3 linked regions of the Arabidopsis thaliana genome follow. The protein of the gene in region 2 interacts with the protein of the main gene of each other region in a pairwise test. Each region holds a gene or a part of one and is shown on either strand. Other genes may lie near its edges. The genes, in order: AG, AtMYB103 and AT3G62260.

Region 1 (9,668 bases), on a different chromosome or scaffold from region 2:
GACGAGTATGTGTTCTGGGACGCGTTTCATCCAGGAGAAGCTGCGAATGTTGTCATCGGTAGTCGATCTTTTCAGAGAGAATCTGCTTCTGATGCTCATCCTTATGATATCCAGCAGCTTGCTCGGCTCTAGTTCATGAAATTTCCTCCAAGCAAACACAGAGTGAAAAAGAGAGGGAGACAGATTTAATCTTTTTCTTATTTAAGTGTTTGATGATTGTTTCTTTTTGCTGCAGAAGAATTGTTTGTTTTGTTGAGTTTATGTATCATGGTTCTATATAATGACATGAAATTTCTGCTTTCTTATAGATGACTAAATTCATTTGGATCTCTGATTCTCTTATTAGTTATTACTATGTATCAATCTTTTAATTGTTCAAACACTTTTCTAGTAAATGGATATAAAAAGAAACTGAAGTTGGTTTAAATGGCGAATTCTGATAAGAGGAAGCTTGTGCATAAGAGTCAGGTTCTTGAACAATAACAACTATATCTTGTCCCTTGCAAAAAAAATTGTTGGACCGGGCCTGGATGGAAATGGATGTTGCGTTCCATACAAAATCTAGTAACCGGAGGCTAGGAAAATGAGCTTGATTATGACCATGATTTATTGAGAACAGGTATGGAGCCATCCGATAATGTTTGCTCTTGGTTTACGAAATGAAGCTAGGCAGAGATAAGCTATTGTATGTGCATTTAAAGAAAATATGGTTAATACTCTTGTATGTGTTTTCACCGAGCAAGACGCGAGATATTGAGACCGGGTGGTGAATGTATTCCTGGTAGGCAGCTACAAAATGAACGAATGTTTCGACATTTTGCAACTGTACCACATGGGGAGAAGGAGGAGGAGGATGGAACTCAGCACATGAATATATATCATTATCATATTGAGACTTTTCTATAATAAAATCATTAATAGAGCAGGAATTGGTAATTAAATACAACAATTGAACTAATAGTACACTTATACACATAGATGTTTTGAAGCAAATTAAGCACATTAATGACATGTCTTTAAGATATTAATTTCACATCAACATAAGCATAAAATTCACTGATACAACATTCATGGGATAAATATATATATAACATGCATTAGCTTTATATTGCTTGCTCAACCCAATTCTGGTTTTTATTCACTCCCGGCCATTTCCTTCAGCCTATATTACCTACAAAACAGCATAAAAGACCAAATCCATGCTGTCAAGTTTTACAAAATGGACCGATTAATAATATAAGACTAGAATGATTGATCGGAGCAAGATTTTGTGTCCTTACACTAACTGGAGAGCGGTTTGGTCTTGGCGACCCGCGGATGAGTAATGGTGATTGTTAGGTTGCAATGCCGCGACTTGGAAATAATTCCGTGAATCAAACGGTTGAGATTGCGTTTGAGGTGGTGGCATAAGCTGCTCGTAGTTAGATCCTCCTGGCATTAGACTTATACTCGGATTGTTCCTCTCATTTTCAGCTATCTACATTACACAAATATATGTCATAAACTATTTATCTACAAGTACTTTCACCATTTTAATCGTTTTCATATAATATTTATTGAAACAATAGGGAAAATTATAGAAATTGATATATAATGTGTACTTTTACCTTTGCACGAAGAATCTGGTTATCGTTATGCAAATCAACTTCCTGCTTAATCGGTGCAATGCAAATGAGCAAAATTATTATAAGAACATATTAAGAATAGAAATTAAGTTAAGATTTATTTCTTACTCTTTTCTGCATGTAGTCGATTTCAGAAAATAAGAGCTCATTCTGTAAAATTAAACAAAAATTAGCAACAAGGCATATAGATTTAATTTGATATTATATTGAAGCATTTATAAAAAAAATAGAATTACCTTCTTGGATCGGATTCGGGTAATACTTCTCTCTAATCTGCCTTCCAAGTTCCTGAGCTCTTTGGGAGACATTGACCCTATCGTCTCACCCATCAATTGCCTAATTGATTTATCAACATATGTTAATATATCAAATAGTTAATAACAACCAAGTAATCAAATATTTCAAGTCAGTTAGATAATTAACCTGTTGGAGTTTTGTATGCTGATTATTTGTTGACGCAATTTGGCTGATTCTTGTTGATAATACTACAACAACAACAAAAAAAAAAAGAGTAAAAGAATGAACAATGTTGTCATGTCATCATATATTAATTAAAATCATTCGTGTAATATTAAGTTACCACTTACCTGTGCATTAATTTCTGCCACCGATCCGGTGTTAGAATTGTCCGATATTGCCTTCTTGTACCTCTCAATAGTCCCTTTTACACTGCAATAATTTTTTTAAAGGAATTAATAAGTTAATTAGACCTATTAACTACCTATTTTCTAAACTTAATCTACGCTTAAATCTGCATTTTGATAAGTAATAAAAAATAAAATTGATAGGGTCAAATCGACCACTTGCACAGTTAAGTGATTCTAATACGAAACCTTAAAAGCAAACATCGGTTCTTTTGAGTCAGAAGAAATGCAACTTAATGTGACACATGATGTGAAGAAAAAACAAAAGTAATATAAGAAAAGGGAACAATTAAATAGTTAATAAAATATTTCCTTAAAGTTGTAACAAATAAAGAATCATTTTATGAAACAATATGAACCCTAAATAAATTAAAATTCCTCTGAAACCTTAAATTTATCGAGCTAGTGATTGGCTGCCAACTGCCATGCTGGCAAAATTAGAGTGACATGATTGGTCTGAACATGTCTAGGGTTTCAGACATGTGACATGTGTCAACAACCCATTAACACATTGGGTATAAATCCAATAGACATTTGATAGTATTAAAATTGTAACCATTGGATTAAATTTAAACGTGATGGATGTAACTAAATGACTTGTCCGAGTAACATCACAACGTTCCATACTTTCCTTATTTGGAATATAATTAAATTTACCATTTATTCTTTTTTCTTGAGTTTCCTGTATATGTACTTGTACATAGATATATATACACAAATACGTATTACAATGACATATTATAGACTTTGATGTCTGAACTCTCAACCTTCTCGATGGAGAGATCATGACCGTAGATTTTTTTGGATCGTAGAAGGCAGACCAAACTCTTAAACTATTGGATCCGTACTAAAAATCTCACTTTCCTCTCAGTACCCATAATGAGAGAGAAAATGATAAAAATCCCTAACATTATTCTCTCTCTAGAAAAAAAAAAGATACTTCAAAAAGAAAGAGAAATTGCATAAATCTATCTACACCAAAGATGTTGAAGCAATTCCAATGCTATACTTCTATGCCAAATCTATTTATTCAGTGATCATTAATCTTTTTACTTCCAAGAAATATGAACAATTTAGTATCCTTATAATTTTTGTCTCTATATATGTAATATGAACATTGGGTATTGACCAAATGAGAAATCTAATATTAAATGGTCAAAAGTAGTAATATGATGACATTTTTGAATTTATAAATAGGTTACAAATTAATTCATTATGACATAAAACCTTCTTGTCAGAAGTCAAGAACTGAAACTAACAAAACTTTATAATAAATTAGTAAAAATACAAGTGAAAAATAAAAAGAAATAATATCTGAGTGATGACGTGATCAAAGATTCTTTAACAAAGACAACAAATCTTACAGACCCAAAACCTAATCTTGCGCTCAATTCCAACCTCTGAAAAAACCTCAAAAATCTTATAAAAGAAAATAAATAAAGAAACGAAACTCTGATTTCGTAGAGTACCCATCGGATATATAAAAAGAAATTAGTAGGTAAATGAAGACTAATTTTGATTGACTGATTTAATTTGAAGTCGTTGTTAGCTTTTCTTGTTTTGGACATGAGAATTATATATTTCAGGACATGAGAGTTGACAACTGTAAACGATTAAGAAAATTGATCTTTTAATTTTCAAACACCATTTAATCTTGACATGTTTTATGTTTTGGTGGAGAAGAAAGTAATCACGTGGGACTCTCTACTAATAAGTATTTGGAAATTGCGTGTCGAATTAGAGATTACTAGTTTGAGTAATGTAGTTCGAAATGAGATTAGTTATTTTTAATTTTAAAAAGAGTAATTTTAAGGAATAACAAAAAAGAGTCCCCATAAGCTAATTTGTCTTAATTACCTCCTTGTTTCATTGACTATTTGAAATCTTGAAAATTCAGTTGAAATTTCAAATCTATGTTTCTTTTGACCACTTCTAAACTAATCTTAGCTCATATATAATTTTCCAAAACTACAAAAATAACACTAACATTTAACATTCTCAAGAGAAAACAAAAACAAAAACTTAGATAACCATCTAAATTGTCCTACATGTACGTATAAGTTCCATTATTTTCTATCACTCATATAAGTTAAAATTTCATGAAAACTCAAAAATCTAGCTAGTTTCACCTTATTCACTCTCACTTACCATCACATGTGTTTGTATCAAATATATGATATGATATAATTCATGAGAGAGAAAGAGAGCTAGAGATAAGAAAGGAAAGTAAGAGAAAGAAGAGAAGAAAAAGAGAGACACAGACATTAACAACAATGGAGGATGGATGATCACAAAACAGAAGATATGACCTCATAGTCCTTCCTTACTCTCTCCCCAATTTGTTTCCCAAAACTTACTTTTATAGTCATAAAAATCAAGTTTTTACCTATTACAACACCAGATCTATAAATATATCTAAATCTTCAAGTACTTGTTAGTAAGGAAAATAGAAAGATATAAGATTTTATTATTATTATAATAACAGAAATGAGTGAAGAAAGAACACCCAACAAAGTGAATCTTAGTTCTACAAAACTGAATCTAAAACTCCACATTAGAAAAAACCCTGATGGTTTCTTATTTCTTTTCATTTATTATCTAACTCTCACTCAGATCTCCTTTAACTTTGTACCATTTCCCTCACTTCATATATCTATATATAACAAATTCTCTCTTTTTATTTAAGTCTTAAGGGAAAATTAATATACACATGAAGAACAAGAAATTAGATCTACAAAATTGTTACAAAAACCCCCGAAGTAAATAAAATAAACATATCAAACAAATATTCCCACTAATGTTAGTGTGTTTATATATATATGTGTGTGGAATATGAAGGAAAAAAGTGAAAAATAATCCTACCCATAAGAGCATTCAAGAAGAAGAGAATCAAATCTAGCTTAGAAGATCGAAAACCCTCGTAAAAGATTTATGCTTTAACATAAACATAAAACCCTAAATCGGACTTTAAAAATAATTTAATTATTAATAAAGTAAGAACAGAGCACGAGAAGAAGAAGAAACCTGTTGTTAGAGTACTCATAGAGACGACCACGGCTAGAGAAGACGATGAGTGCGACTTCAGCATCACAAAGAACAGAGAGCTCGTAAGCTTTCTTGAGCAAACCATTTCTACGTTTGCAAAAAGTGACTTGACGATTCGTTGTGTTCTCGATCCGTTTGATTTCGATCTTTCCTCTCCCAGATTTCCTCAAGGGAGAGGAATCTCCTCCTAGCTCCGATTGGTACGCCGTGATTGCTGCTCCAAAGCCAAAAACGTTTAGGGCAAAATTTGATTAGTACAGAATTACAAGAATCCAACAAAAAACCAATCAAGATTTTCTTGAAAAGACTCAAGATTCTTCATGTTTTCTATTCTTTTGAATTATGGTTGAGATTAAAGTTAAACTATAAAGATTTAATTTAATTCTGTTGCCGACACACATCTTATAGAAGGAATTATAAAGTTGAAGAACTTTATTGATCTTACATTCATATTCTCCTAACAAGAGTTAATCAAGAAAGGATGGTAATACACAAGTTATAAACTAAGAACAAAATTGTTTTGTAACCATAGGGATAATTTAAATCTAGAGTGTGAAAAAGAAAAGTTTTAAAGAGTTAAAGAAGATCAGAGAATTTGTGAATCTTGTTTCTCTCTAAATAACATAAAAAGAATCAAATCAAAACGGGAAAAAAGGAAACTAAAGAAGAACAAAAATTTGGTTTAAGGACCAAAAGAAGTGAAGCAAAGTAATATTATGAAGAAGATAATGTTTGAAAGGATTGGGGAACAACAAAATACTAGCCTGACCTGTTGGGGGGAGAAGAACAAAGGGGAAAGTTTTATTTTTCTTGGGAAAATGATTTTCTGGAAAGTATGAGATTTGGAGAAGTTGCAGAAAATGGAAGGTAAGGTTGTGCTGGTGAAGAGATGGGTATATACATTTATAAAGGAATATTTTTTTTCTTTTTAATTTTCTCTACTATTTATCACCATTTTTCCCCACTTTTTACATCCATATAGTGTCTTGTCAATTTGTGTTTGATTACTGGTTTTCTTACTCACTAAAGCATAGTTTTATGAATGGAATCTATGAGATAAGTATGTGTTTCTTCTTTATTAGATAGAGTTAATATACATGTATTTTCTGAAAAGTAATTCTATTTAAACTGGTTTTGGAACATACACATGTTAGATAATTATGTGGTGAAAGTTGATTTTGAGAATTGACAAAAGTTTTGTACTTGGTTGATAGTTATATATGAGGGAAGTATAATTAATTAAACTGGTGTTTCTTTTCAGTACATTTAGACATATGATAGGTTAAAATAAAAGATTGACATAGAGCAATCTAAAGGTTCACAAAGCATGAGTACATCAGCTTTTGAAATCACATGAAAAATATTATTAATAAATAGTGTTAATTACCATAAATAACACCCACCATACATCCGGACTTTTCATAAATATAATACTTATTAAGGACACCCCCAAATTGAGAAATTGTAGAAATGAATAAATAGTTTTTGGAAATGAAGAAAAAAAGAGAGAGTTATTGGTGGGTAGTTCTTGTGTGGTCTTTCACAAAGGTCTAAATGAAAAGAGGGTTCAAGTTGGGCAATCACTCATGAGATGCAGACTCTACTTACCATTACTTGTCTTTGCTTTTCATGTGAAAGTTTTTGAGGCACTAAAATCTTTGGGTAAATCTGATCAGTACATTTTTTTGTTACAACAAATATCGATCTTCTTCTTTGTTTCTAGTTTTTACTAAATCTTGATCTTTTTAAAGAGGAAAAAATTTCAGCTCTATTCCCTTTTCTTTTGTGAATTGTTTTAAAGATTTAAGTGACATTCTGCAGGAAAATTTGTTTCACTAATTAAGGAAGTTATTTATAAACAAATATATGGTGTTGTATATTTGATACCATTTTACATTATTTTGCCAGAATAAATATAAGAAAATGGATTCTGGATACTGAAAATATTAAAGAATAGAATTTCAAAAAATTTATGATAATATTGTAATTACATGATGAGGTGTAATTTATTCCGTATATAGTAACTGATGGTGTACAAATATAAAGTAACATATAAAAGAAAACTGTGTAATTAGATATATGGCTAAACTGATTATTAGTAGTAAGAACCAATATACTTATCTATTTAATGGTGTGGCAAATATAGAATCGAATGATGTAAAAAGAAGGAGAAAATTACTCAGATAGTGAAGAAAATTAGCATACTATTTATGTTAGTGAGATTTGAAGTTGATGATGTTTACTTGTTGTGATATTGACATATAAAAAAAATGATAAATTAATAAGATAAATAGGGTTTTAGGGTTTATAGGGGAAATAGGGAGATGAAGCGTACTTTTAAGGGGCTGGACAAGACGTAGGGCTTAATTTGGAAAGTTATTTAAGTGTAATGCTTCTGACTCAATTAGAAGGTAACCAGACTTTTCTCTCTTCTCCAACTACTTTAATCTCTCTCTCTTTTTTTACATTTTCTTTTTGACTTTTGTCGCCCTCTTCAAGATCACAGCTCTCCATATTGTTTGTGAAACTACTATATGAATATACATAGGTGACTACTTAATAAATTTTGTTGAAAAGTATCTAACTGTTAAAATAGTTCTCCTAATTGGCTAAATGGATTAAAATTTAACCCAAAATATGGATTAATAATCTTTCTTGTTTTATTTGATAAAGATCTTTGTAGCTCGTATGTGGAAGAAAAAAATTGGGTAGATATTTTCTAACATTTTGTTAAATAAGTTATTTTTAAAAAATGTTGAATAATTGAGGAGCACAATGTATAAATGGAGTAAGGTTATGCCAAAAGAAGAGGGAGAGTAGCATGTGATGTGTAGTCTTTGATCTCCATCTTTATGAACCCATTTAAGGTAATTTGATAGAGATAAGAGAAACCTATATGTATATACAGTCCATATTCATATTTATTTCCCTATAACTATATATACATCCACTTGCAATGTGCTTTCTTTTCTTTTGTACTTTTTCTTTCTTTCTTGCAATTAGAAAAAATAGTATAGCTTAACTGCATGTAATTTACCTTCTCTAGTAGTATATTTAATTAGCAAGAGTTAAAGTAAGTTTAGTAAGAATTACTGAATTGAATACTAGTAAAATTTACAAATTAGTACATAATTAGATTTCCTTTACGTCACATGTATGCTTGTATGTATGGAAATTGATTAGGTCATTTATAAAAGAAACAACTCAATTGCTTTGGGTCAAGCTTTCATGGTCGAAGTGGGTTTTAAAAACCATAAAATCTTCTCGTATCTTACATGATGGACCACAATCGAAGGTTGCTTTCTACCATATTTTGATCACTTTTGATTTGAGTTTTTATTAAAACAAAAATATGTGACTCGCTGAATTATTTACCCGATTTAAAATACTGTTTTTCAATGGTGTTTTATCTTAGGAATAACAATATCACACATCGGAAGTTAGACAAAGATCCTAATAATATAGAAGATATATGGATTGATCCACTGCAAATTGGTTTTGAGGACAGATTAATATTTTATCCAACTAGTCTAAACGTATCATCAGAAAAAATGTATCGATCAATTTGGTAAAGGCTCGATTTTGACCAAAAAACAATATGCATAATTCTTGTTTAGTGTATCTTAATGTATTTTTTTAATGTCATCTACTACAAGAAAACAATACGAACTCCAACAATTTTTCTTACGAAATTTTGGTGTAAAATCTATGAAATTTTCATCAAATGTTGTTTTGAAGGTTTTAATTTAATAGAAAAACCGTTACTCGTGTACTAAGTTCACAAAGACATAGAATGTGTACTAGATAAGTTCCCACGTAATAATGATTATAAATATTAAATTATATATGATCAATAAAAGCAATAAATATTTAAAACATTAATTTGACGTCGAATCATACATTTTGTGTTGGAGAAGGGATCACTTAAATGACACTACCTAATCAAATTTAATGCATATTCTTTTGTTCCTTAATTTTTCTTCCTCGTCATTAAAAAAAATGGATACATTATATTACCTAGAATAAAATCAGTTCACAGAAAACAAAAGAATACTCTCTCTGTTTTGAAATTATATATTCTGTAACATTCCATCCCAAAATTAGTATGACGTGATTAGTAGATCAACAGACCACAAACCATTTGAAAATTTTCAAATATTTTGAAAATTTTCCAAACTGCTAGAAATAGATTCTGCGTACTTTTATAAATTCCGTAAAAATATGGAATTGGCATTCAAACTTAGATACTATATATATAGCATTTTGTGGGAATTTAAGATTTGTTTTCGTCAGGTTCCAATATAATTTAAAGATATTTTTGTTTGGTTTTGGACCGAATTAAGACTAATTAGAA
Region 2 (5,694 bases):
GCTGTCAAGGACGATATTGGAGAATTCAGGATTCAAAAACCTGACAGGGGCCCTTTCTACGTCTCTTCTAAATCACTCGATCAGCTCATTTCTAATTTGGGAAAATGGTCAAGGTCGTGTCTCTCTCCTCTCTCGGTTCTTCTCCTATACTCTTGTAGAAAAACGGCAATGAGCCAAACTGATTGAGAAGAGTATAATTTACAGGTTGTACAAATATGCCTCCATGGGTTTTACTGTTCTTGGTGTGTTCCTAATTACGAAGCATGTCATTGACTCTGTTCTAGAGAGAAGACGGCGGAGACAGTTACAAAAAAGGTATGTCACAGATTTGTCTGTCTAAAAGTGAATAACCGTTCTCAAGCATGAGTACTAGATCGGCTTGTTTCTCTCGAAACTATGTACACACAAAATTAAGTAGTCAGCTGTTTTTGCAGAGTGCTTGACGCAGCAGCAAAGAGAGCTGAGCTAGAGAGTGAAGGTATCCATTGGTGAATCTCTTTATTCTACATATAGGTTGCACTGGCTCTGACTACAATCTCTTCTGACCAGGTTCAAACGGGACACGTGAGAGCATTTCAGATTCTACCAAGAAAGAAGACGCTGTTCCTGATCTCTGTGTGATATGCCTAGAGCAGGAGTACAACGCTGTGTTTGTCCCGTAAGCATTCTTCCGCCATTTTTGGTTGATTCTGCATTTGCAACTTGCTAAAATGCTTGTGGTTGGTACTCGCAGGTGTGGTCATATGTGCTGCTGCACCGCATGCTCCTCCCACTTGACCAGCTGTCCACTTTGTCGGAGACGAATAGATCTGGCGGTTAAGACATATCGTCACTGAACAACAACTCAGGCCTCAGAAACATTCTCTACTTGAGTCTTGTCTGTAAATACCGCAAAATCAAAACATTACACAGTTTAGCGTTCGATATTCCCTTTGGTTTGATTTCGACAACAAAACATTTTGAATTATATAGAAACATAAGGTGTTTACTCGATTTGCAAAACAGTACATTCGTGTTTACTTATTCGTGTTGTTGCCAATGCCATGAGGTGTTTGCTCGATTCAGCGAATAGATATCAACATTTTGATCTTCAGATTCACTAAACCAAAAGCGCGCTACAAAGATAATCCTACCTATTTTAAAGGAGTCTAAAACATGCATATAGTATCTTGAAATCCTTAATTTGACTTTGTTATTCCCTTGAAAACTGAAAATTTTGACTTTGTTGCAGATATACTTTGATTGTATCATTAAGAATATAAGTGGATTAATTACAATACTTTGTTATTCCCAAGTATTGTTCATTCACTACCTCATTTTGCAACTAGATTAATCATATCTTTATGCTCTTTTCTACAAACCAAAATGCTATAGTAATTTTCAAAATAGTTTTGCCATGGCCTGTACGTGGGTAGCTAGCCAAATCTCTACGTTTGTGTTACGATACGACAACGTTAACGAACTTAGTGAATGCACTACGTTACCGTATTGCCTTGCAACATGGAAGCAGTGTTTTTTTGTCCTTTTCATACATCAAATTAAGGACAAGACCTTGAGTTTTATATACATACATTCACACCATCTCTTTATCAACAATTTAGAACACTCATTACATAATAAAGTGAAAATCCCGTTACAAACTCTAAGAGAAAAAAGGTGAATAAACAAACTTATAAACAAATTAGCGGAGTTTATTTGCTGTGATTTAAACATTAATTTAAAACGAAGAAGGGAAAGAAGAAGATAAGGCAGATGATCCCAAATTCATTGATGGGTCTTGGTTTCCAACAAGAGATGAACCTTCCACGTTTATATTAAGGTTGTCCCAAAAGAAAAAGTTAGAGCATTGTTGTGAATCGTCCCATTGATCATAGCTTAGTTCTTGCCTCTTTAAACATTCGAATGTGGACGCCATTTCTCCATCTTGGACATTGCTGTTTTCATTATGGACGATGTTATCGACATTTCCCTCTATTAGCGCCGGTAGATTATAACTTATAACCGTGTCAATATTTGAATTGGAAGAGTTGTTGAACACATGTGACGCCAGTGTAGGAACTTGAAACGGCTCTTGCTGACGAAGATTCATATCCCATTCTTCCGTGTTAGTTGTTAGAAATGCTTGTTCACAAACATTTTCTCTTCCTCCTCTTTGCGTGTCATCATGATCATTGTTCTTGTTATTGTTTGTGATGATGTTTTCAGAGAACATTCCTTCTAGGATAGGAAGTGTTGTGTCTACCATGAAGAGAGGAGGTTTATGGGAGAAAAAAGTTTCTTGAATCTTTATATTAGTTTCTTGATCATTGGTGAAATTTAATTGGTTAGGAGAATCAGTGAAACCGTCAAAATGTAAGTTATCGATAGTCGATGTTGTGGTGGTAGAGGCCTCGATGGTAGTGGCAATCGATGTAGTGTCCGCATTCAATGTCACAGTAGTTACTGACGGTTGATGACGACTGTAATGATGGTGCGGTTTTCGTATCTTTTTCTTAATCCATGAATTCCAATAGTTTTTAATCTCGTTATCTGTTCTTCCCGGTAAATGACTAGCTATATGAGCCCACCTGAAAAAAACAAAAAACATAAGTTTAATAAGAAAATATGTATGTATCACATTTTGAGAATGTTCAATGAAGTAACTTAAAGTGTACTACTTAATAGCTCGACCAAGTAGACAAAAGTAAACGAGCTAGATGAATGAAACTACACGTTAAAGATTCTTTGGTCATCGACAGTAGGCTAGTCGTTGCTTCAAACCGTGGCCAAACTAAACATATAATTGTTTAAATTTAAAATATAACATGATAAACTGAATATAAGTATAAAATGTACTATGTATGTATCCCAACCCAACAAACTTATTATTGAAAATGGTATCAGTATTGAAAATCTTATAAGACTTCCTGTAGCGGTCTATAATAATACACTATCTTGAATTGATAATATATAAAAATTTAAGTCGAGTTAGTAAAAATGGAGACCTGTTTCCCACAACTCCATGAAGGCTTATGATCAATTTCTCTTCTTCTGGAGAGAACCTTCCTCTCCTGATATCAGGTCGAAGATAGTTTATCCATCGCAATCTACAACTTTTTCCACATCTTTGAAGCCCTAAATTTGATCAAACATGCATTTTAAAATTAGTTACATTAACTATATATGTTAATTAGCGCAAGATCGTTATAATTGGTTAGAGAAAAAAATATGTTACTTGAAAACTAATATACAAGTAAGATCACCTGCTTTTTCAGGGACTTCACTCCAACATCCATAGCCATGAGTTGTGATATATCTAATAAGCTTCTCATCTTCTTCCGGTGACCAAAGCCCTCTCTTCACCTTTTGCTGGTTGCAGCATGAGTGATGACCCATGATTAGTAGCTCCTCAAAGTAACTTAAATATAGTGAACCACTTAATCACAATCTTAAATTAATTTTTATATAAGTATATCACCCTTTAGGTTTTTACTCTCTCTCTCTCTCTCTATCTATCTTCTTTAATTTCTTGAGTTATGTTATAGAAGAGAGAAGACAAAGAAGCAATGGAGAGTTTTTAAAAGGAGAGGAGACAAAGGTCGGGTCGGGTCGGGTCGGGTCGGGTCCCAGGGGTGGGGCCTGAGATATTTCTTCATCGATCTAACCTTAAAACGATGTCTCATCGACTTTCTATTTTCATGTGTTATTACTCGTTGTACGTAGAGAGGTTTTGTTGTAGTATTATTACGTTAAGCCCTTATCACTTTTATGTGTTTTTCTCTTCACGTACCCTTCTGTCTCCCGCGAAAGTTCCTGTTTTCTTTGTTTCTTATATTCTATAAAACCAAATGATTTTAAGACGAAAACTAGAGATTGATTCGTAGAACTAATCGTCACATATGTATCAACTAATCATGAGTATATAATATATATAGACTCGCTGCACATGAGTATCAACTAATCATGTATTATCCACTGTTTTCCTCTATTTCTATCTCTCTCTATATACTGTATTCAGTAAATTAATTTTCATAGTAACGCAAATTATTTATTTTATTATAATAATTCGAGGTTGACCTATTATTTTATAAAAAGATTTTTCAAAATGAAAAATTCAGATACATTATATATTGGCTCAAAAAGAGTCATTTCGTCTAACATGTATAATTAAACTAACTGAATTCTGAAAATATTTAAACTTAGAAGTCGGACCAATAACTAATTAATGATCACATACAACAATTTGTAATCACATACTAAAACGCTTTCCATTTATCGTAACACACTTAATAAAGCAGTACTACTTTTTTTCCTGTGGCCTGTGGGTACTGAGTAGTACTAGTACTTGATGGCCGCAAACCAAAGGAAAATATGAAGCCAAATTTAATACAATATCCTTCCATCTTTCTAATAATTTCCGAAGCCCTATCTTCTTCTTTTTTGTTTGTAAAAAGTAATTAATGATTCCGAAGCCCTATCAAAGATGGAAATTTTGTGTCTTTTAGATTTTTTTTTTTTTGAATTTATTGCTTATAATTATGTTAACAACAACGAACAATAAAAAATTCTAATAAAAGTAGATAGAACTTGTGGATTCTATATTTCTATAGATAGAAAAGAACTTGTGGAATCCATACACAAGGAGTGTATTTGAAGTTGATATAGTATTGTTTTCAACGTGAAATAATTGATTAAGTCATGTAGCCGAATTATACAGTGATTTTTGTAATTTAAATAAAATCCAATTATATTAAGTACGTCCAATACCGAAGCTTTCTTCAAAGATATATAGAATAACAATCATTACAAGTTTCAATTACAAGGCTTTGATTTAGTTAGGAGACATATCGGAAAACCTTACCGAGAATGAAATCGCTTCGTTTATAAATTTTCTCCTTTTAATTTATTTTCGTATTGAAATCTTGTAAAGATAGTCATGCAATACTATATATACAATAATCAATTATAATCATATATGTAATATGTCACATCAGGTTTGTTCTTTTTGACAGGCCTTTGTTCGTTCTAACAGAAAAATGTTTATTTGTTCCAATCTATATAAAAAATGTTTATCACATTATATTTACCTTACCTGCACCTATAACACTAGTTCTGTTTGTTCGTTCTAACAGAGCAACAACAATCTCGTATTCTTTCCAATCTATATAAAAAATGTTTATCACATTATATTTACATACCTGCACCTATAACACTAGTTCTGTGTTTGTTATTCAATATATTAAATAAATATCATATATATCACCGTATATAGCATGCTCAATTTCTCCCTATAACAAATATGGATGATTGGAATCATCAATTTTGTTGTCAAAATAGAATCTTAACTAGGGAACTGTAGACCAGGGCACCAAGCTTACGTACAAATTACGATACATAATACATAGTTACATACATATACGGATACACCTGTTCCAACACATAAGATACTGGATGCATGGTCCTTTAGAGCATCCCCAATGGTTAAGATGTTAAAGCTTTTAATCTTGGATCTTAACCTTTTTTAAAATTAAAATTTTGCTTTTTCAAAGTTAAGATAAGTTAGAGAATATCTTAATTTATTTATGCTCCATTGGTTAAGAAGCAAAAAGTTCTTAAGGGAAAAAATTTAAATTATTTATGTTCCAATGGTTTTTTTTTCCTTACTTTTGTTTATTTGTGTACCCAATAAATACACAACACCTGTCCACTTCTTAA
Region 3 (6,256 bases), on a different chromosome or scaffold from region 2:
ACAAATACATAAATAAATTAATCGTTGATACTATTTAGTTAAAAAAGTGTTGAGAATCATTCGGGGATGTAGCTCATATGGTAGAGCGCTCGCTTTGCATGCGAGAGGCACAGGGTTCGATTCCCTGCATCTCCATTTTTATTTTCTTTTTTTTATAACTTTTGGTGAGCTTAATGGCCCAATAGACTGCTCTGTGAAAGCCCAAAACTAAGCCCAAATAAAATAAGGGTAGTAACGTAATTGAGCTAAGAAACCCTAGAGGTCTCCTTCGCCTACAAAATCCCCATTTTGATAATCTTCAGCAGCCGTTGCCTCAAAAGATGCAGATCTTCGTGAAAACCCTAACGGGGAAGACCATAACCCTTGAGGTTGAATCATCCGACACCATCGACAATGTGAAGGCGAAGATCCAAGACAAGGAAGGAATCCCACCGGACCAGCAGCGATTGATTTTCGCCGGGAAACAGCTTGAAGACGGCCGTACCCTCGCCGACTACAACATCCAGAAGGAATCGACGCTTCATCTCGTCCTCCGTCTCCGTGGTGGTGCTAAGAAGAGGAAGAAGAAGACTTACACCAAGCCGAAGAAGATCAAGCACAAGCATAAGAAGGTTAAGCTCGCTGTTCTTCAGTTTTACAAAATCGATGGATCTGGAAAGGTTCAGCGTTTGAGGAAGGAGTGCCCTAACGCAACCTGTGGAGCTGGGACTTTCATGGCGAGTCATTTTGATCGCCATTACTGTGGTAAGTGTGGACTCACCTACGTTTACCAGAAAGAAGGAGTTGAAGCTTGATCTGTTGTAGCGGTAGATCGATCCTTCTCTTTCTCTCTTATCTTTTAAAAACTGCATTTCTATTTGGGAATTTTGTAAGCTCTTTAATTTGAGTTATCATGGATTCTATGTTGAACATCTTTCGTTCTGGATTATAAATTATGGAAGGTTTTAGGATTTTATGGATATTCATTATGTTGTTCGTTCTATACTTTGATATTCATTGGTTGCTACTTCTTGAATCATCCTATAACGTAGTTGTGAGAGCATTTCAAATCATTTGTTTGCAGATTTATAGATGATTTGCAATGGCAACGTAGCGGAATTTATGATTTGTCTTGTATTCTTTTTAGTCAAGTGATTAATTCTCGAATAATATTCGATCTAGGATTTTAGTTTTGTGATGAGTGATTAGTTTCTACGCTTTGATTCTTAAGGCTGCTCTCATGCGTAGTAGTAGCCTTGTCTTTTTGGTTTCTAAACGTGTTGCTAATGATTTTTGAATAAGTTTGATTTATCTTTAAACTGAAGTTGTTCAAAAATAGTTTCTGCTGCATGAATTTGTAAATCTTATTAAGCGAAGAACGAAAGTTAGTCTCGAAATGATGATACATTCCTAGTTTTAAATGGTCGTGTTGAATGGAGTTTTATCTTGATCAAAAAAATAAAGATGCAATTTTATCTTGACAAAGTGGCGATCACTTAATCTTTTCTTTTTCGTTATTCATAGACAACTAACAGTATGTATGTACACAAAACTGTAATCGCATACTGTGCACACAACAAACACACTTAATACACAAGTATATCTCAAAAGAGTTCTCTCAGCTGCGTAAAATCTCTAAATACAAAAGCAGCCGTGGGAGAGATTATTCGTCATCATCAATTATATAATCATCGGTTTTCACCAGAAAACACACTAGTTTCAGCCATCCAACAGATTCCTCAAGCTACAGAAAGCTTCAGGCGAAAGACTAAAACACCTTCTCTTCTCCAATGGCACCACCGGCTTGTCCCCTCTGTCCATTGTCATGAAACATACCACCACCGCAGTTAAATTATCAAATGAGTTCCGCCCCAGAGCCTCCATCACTAGCTCTCGCGCACATCTTGTTGGATCGTTGTGCCGGTTTAAGCCACGCCTAACAATGCTAACCGCTTCTTGGCTCGTCAAGACATCCCAAATCCCATCGCACCCAATCACAAGAAACTCATCGTCTTCAGTTAGAGTTATCTGCTTGATTTCTGGTTCCGAGATCAGTGGAGATTGAGAGCCGTGTGGCAGTTTTAAATCCCAGTCGCCCAGAGCTCGGGTTACAGCTAGGACTTCATTTAGGTAACCGTCATTAGTGATGAAACCGCCGGATTCCTCCACTCTTCTTCTCTCAAGTAGATTAATCGGTTTATGGTCTTCAGACATGTCTATCGCTCTGCCTTTCCTGCATAGAACCGCTCTGCAGTCTCCGGCATTTGCAACCATTAAGAGTCTGCAAAAGACAAGAACATAAGTATCCCATGAGAAAATCACAGTTAAACCCCAAAGACAACAACAGAAAGAGTAACCAAAAGTATAAAACCATAGCCAATATTGCTCATGTCACAGGTTATATACTTACAATCTAGTATATGTAAGAGCTCTCTTAAGATCCTAACAATAGATTTATTTACCTTTGTGCACATCTTCGTATATGCGCAAGAGATCTCTTAAGATTCTAAAGATAGATTGAGAACTAAACAAAACTGAATGAAACACGTACCTTCCACAAATAAGAGCAGTCAGAGCGGTGGTACCACAAGAATCGCTGATACTGCAATCCTCTGCCAAAGCTAGATCAGCTTGAAGAAACGCATTTCTCAATGAAGTCTCAACTTCTTCCACATAAACACTACTCACTTCCGATGTCTGTGGAAACTGCTCATCTTCAAAGAAAAACCTAATGGCATTTTCCCGTACGTATGCTGCTGCTTCTGGTCCTCCATGCCCGTCAAAAACCTAAGCAGAGGAAAGTCAAGTCAGAATGTATACTTAAAAGAGCATCAGATTATAAGGAAGCAACGATACATACCGCATAGAAAGCACTAGGCTTCGGCAACTCAAAAAGGGAACCAACTTGAGAAGATAAATCGTCTATGCGAATGTGTTCATCTTCCATGTTTCTCTTTGGCCCAATATCAGCAAAGCTTCCAGACCGGATGGTCGGAATATAATCCAAGACACTAGGATCGCAATCACCCTCTGGAAAGATATCAGCCTGCTAAATAAAAGGTATACACGGATGCTCAATTGAGTATAGCAACAAATAAAACACAAGCAGTGAAGACAAGACAGTTAACAACACACAATAACTACAAAGGGCTTCTCCAACAGCTTTAAAGTTGCTTCATTAAGGCAAAGTTATAGACAACAAGCATCTATATTTGCTACGACACGCAAACACACATGAACTAGAGGTCCTCTAAGCCTAAGAGATCCAAGGATATGTTTGCAAAATATTTACAATAAAGTCATCTTATTTGATGATTCCTAATAGACTAAAACCAATAATTCAGTCGAATTTCTAATTACGTTTCAGAACCCAGCTTCTTAAATTCTCACCCAGAAAATAAAAATGTAAACTTTAAACAAGACTTACCACAGGAGAAGTCGTTAAACTTCCGGAAACCGACGCCGTTGACTGAGTAAAACCCAATTTCGGAGAAGAAACGGGAGATTTAACGGCGGAGGAAACTCCGTCAAACAACTCAATCTCCAGAACCGCCGGTAAACTCTGTTGAAACACAACCTCTGCTTCTGCTACCATCAGTCTCTTTCTCTTTTCACAATCAATTTCAATTTCACTTCAACAAAATCGATCCTTTAATTCCAAGAAACTCAAATTCTTTATCTCTGATTTTCTTTTTTTTTCTCTCTCAAATTCGTCACTTGTGTTCAACGAAAATTAACAACTATCGAAGTTCGCGTGTGAATTTATTCCTCTCGTGGACGAAATTTCTGAGCCGCGTGGGCTTTTTCTCTCTGATTATATATAAGAAGAAAAAGACTCGATTATGGGTGACTGGGTAACCGGTAAAATTCAGTTGACACGTGGCCATCATCTGTGGCGAGTCGGTTGCTTATGTAGATTATGATCTCTGTTTAGTTTGTGGATTACACACGGCTAAGACTAAGCCCTAATTATGACACGTGTCATTCGAGCTTTGACGCGCGTACCCTCGAACGACGTCGGATTCTGAACCACTCCTTTTTAAACTTTTACCAACTTCCGAGGACTTTCTTTGGAAATAACGGGGATATTTCTGTAATAGGATTAAATGTTTAGGGGTACTTTAGGAAGTACAGAACTTTCTCGACCAGAATCTCTAAAGGTTTGTCCGTGTACACACCTGCAAGTGACGATCTTTAATCACACAATGGCGTTGCATCTAGATGAATCTGGACCGTTAAAATCACCAGGATGAACTTGCCTCCCAAGGTTTAACTATCTGTCATGCCAGGTCAGCAGTCTTTTCTTTCTTTTTAATTTTTGTCACGAATAATAGTTTAGTGGTATCAAGCTTTACACATTGCGTAGATCAACAAGTTAAGTGCTCTCTATGATCCAAAGCCATTACCTAATTTATTATTTTATGTGGTTGTTTTTTCCTTCTCAATTTGACTATTGGAAAAATTAATTAAAATATCTAAACTGACATAGTAATCCAAATTTAAGAATTACCACACGTTTTATTTATTACTTAAAAATTTTGTCCTAAGCAATATGAGTAAGTTTAACATTTCGAAAATATAATAAGACATGTTATTTGTATAGAGTAGGTGCAAAACCATTCTTTATAAAAAAACTGTCTATTAAGGCGGTAATACACTTTGTTATCATATTAAGAATGTATGATCTAATTTAACCTAAATACTAATTTAAAAGTTAAAAATTATCACATTTTTTATATATTACCCAAAAATATTTGTCTTACTATGTAAGACATTCAACTAAATAATGTTTCTTTAGACGAAACCAAGATGCTCAAGATCTAATGCGTTGCTAAAATTTTGAAACTTGTTCGTGTAAAGTCTAATATAAAACTAGTGTTATGGTATCTTACCAATAAAAATTAACAACTACTAGTACTTATTAGCATATATATGTATGACTCAGCATAATGTTGCTGGTGTTATAGTATTAATATATTATGATTAGGGTTAATATAATATGACACACGATTTGCTGATGATCATCAATGAGGAGACACGCATTTAATGGATCATAATTTCGAGGAAAGCCATAAATCTTTAAACTGTCTGAAAGTATTAAGCCCATTGGATTCAGTAAGGTTTTCTTCCTTGTTGGATTTTAAGGGAATAGTTGGCCTTAAGATTTCGACTATAATATTAATAAGAAAAAGGTGCAACTTTTAGCCCTTTTTTGTATTTAAATTCTGCGAAGGATCTTTAAAACATTATATTAGTCAAACTAGAATGGTTTTAATCAGGTTAAGTTACTGTACCTACGCGTGGAAAAATGGTCAATGAGAATGTCTTAATCTAATCTCTGATCCGACAATAAAAATCGAGACGCAACAAACACAGTTTAAGACAACCACATAACCAAAAGGCAAAAGCCACTAACTTTTCTTGTTGTTCTTTATTTTCATGTTTCCGTTAGATTTTTTCTCTCGAACTTTCTTTTATCGTGAACGTCTATATTATAAGCTGATGTTTCATGGCTTTATTATTACATAGTATAATGTTTTACCGACATTTGACATGGTATTTAGAGAGATTTTACAATGATTCTAAATCAAGAACAGAAATGCAAACATAATTTTAAACATAGGTAAAAAGAAAAAAAAAACTCAAGAATGCATAAGATACAACATCAATTAATTAACTAATTTTAAACATAATCTCCTCCGGTTTTATCAAGCCTCCATCATCGGTAAACTCATTTCGACGATGATGATGGGTTTAAAGGACTCGGCTTTGGACTATTTTGGCCTTTCCCGGAGAGCCTTGGACTCATCTCACCTCTTAAATCAATCACTCTAGGACTAAACACTTGAGAGAGATTCCGATTATAAACCGGTGTTGAAGTCGAACTAGTAACTTTAGGACTACATGTGTGTCTAAACTCTCCTCTGCTTCTTGTAATAAACTCATCAAGAATCTCAGAATCACATGGATACGAAGCAGTTGATCCCATCTCAGCTTCCTGCAAAATCCAAAATCGGTTAATAAGATTTTTCAAGAAGCTAAAAAAGTGGATTTTGATTCGAATTAGTAATGGAGTCGTTTACCGGTACTGCGAGATGGAACGGTAAAGCGGGTGCTTCTTCGTACTCTGCTGCGTCTAAGTCCTGAAGATGAGCACTTTTGAAGAATCTTGGGAGGATATATTGCCTTACGGGTATCAGAAACATGATCAGTAGAGGGAACATAACTCCAGCGATTGGTATCCACGTGAGACCAAAGCAAGTTAAGAGATAAGTTG

Evidence for each region.
Region 1: the proteins of AtMYB103 (region 2) and AG interact in a two-hybrid assay, tested with the Arabidopsis thaliana proteins (one large-scale study listed by BioGRID).
Region 3: the proteins of AtMYB103 (region 2) and AT3G62260 interact in a two-hybrid assay, tested with the Arabidopsis thaliana proteins (one large-scale study listed by BioGRID).

Annotation. Positions count from the first base shown.
Region 1 is NC_003075.7:10,379,772-10,389,439, reverse strand, and holds AG (K-box region and MADS-box transcription factor family protein), read right to left. Parts: upstream 6,585-9,668; 5' UTR 5,760-6,584; intron 5,529-5,759; 5' UTR 5,524-5,528; coding exon of another isoform or gene 5,400-5,523; coding exon 5,294-5,399; intron 2,459-5,293; coding exon 2,369-2,458; intron 2,295-2,368; coding exon of another isoform or gene 2,287-2,294; coding exon 2,213-2,286; intron 2,111-2,212; coding exon 2,049-2,110; intron 1,962-2,048; coding exon 1,862-1,961; intron 1,776-1,861; coding exon 1,734-1,775; intron 1,650-1,733; coding exon 1,608-1,649; coding exon of another isoform or gene 1,575-1,607; exon of another isoform or gene 1,478-1,574; coding exon 1,281-1,477; intron 1,172-1,280; coding exon 1,168-1,171; 3' UTR 901-1,167; downstream 1-900. Other genes in the region: AT4G18970 (GDSL-like Lipase/Acylhydrolase superfamily protein), read left to right, coding at 1-131, 418-565. UniProt on the Arabidopsis thaliana protein: Probable transcription factor involved in the control of organ identity during the early development of flowers. Is required for normal development of stamens and carpels in the wild-type flower.
Region 2 is NC_003070.9:23,718,251-23,723,944, forward strand, and holds AtMYB103 (myb domain protein 103), read right to left. Parts: upstream 3,525-5,694; 5' UTR 3,376-3,524; coding exon 3,243-3,375; intron 3,115-3,242; coding exon 2,985-3,114; intron 2,568-2,984; coding exon 1,718-2,567; 3' UTR 1,533-1,717; downstream 1-1,532. Other genes in the region: DAL1 (E3 Ubiquitin ligase family protein), read left to right, coding at 1-113, 205-315, 435-478, 550-658, 734-836.
Region 3 is NC_003074.8:23,036,818-23,043,073, forward strand, and holds AT3G62260 (Protein phosphatase 2C family protein), read right to left. Parts: upstream 3,754-6,256; 5' UTR 3,575-3,753; coding exon 3,407-3,574; exon of another isoform or gene 3,029-3,406; coding exon 2,840-3,028; intron 2,767-2,839; coding exon 2,531-2,766; intron 2,261-2,530; coding exon 1,699-2,260; 3' UTR 1,473-1,698; downstream 1-1,472. Other genes in the region: UBQ5 (ubiquitin 5), read left to right, coding at 321-794; AT3G62270 (HCO3- transporter family), read right to left, coding at 5,711-5,977, 6,063-6,256.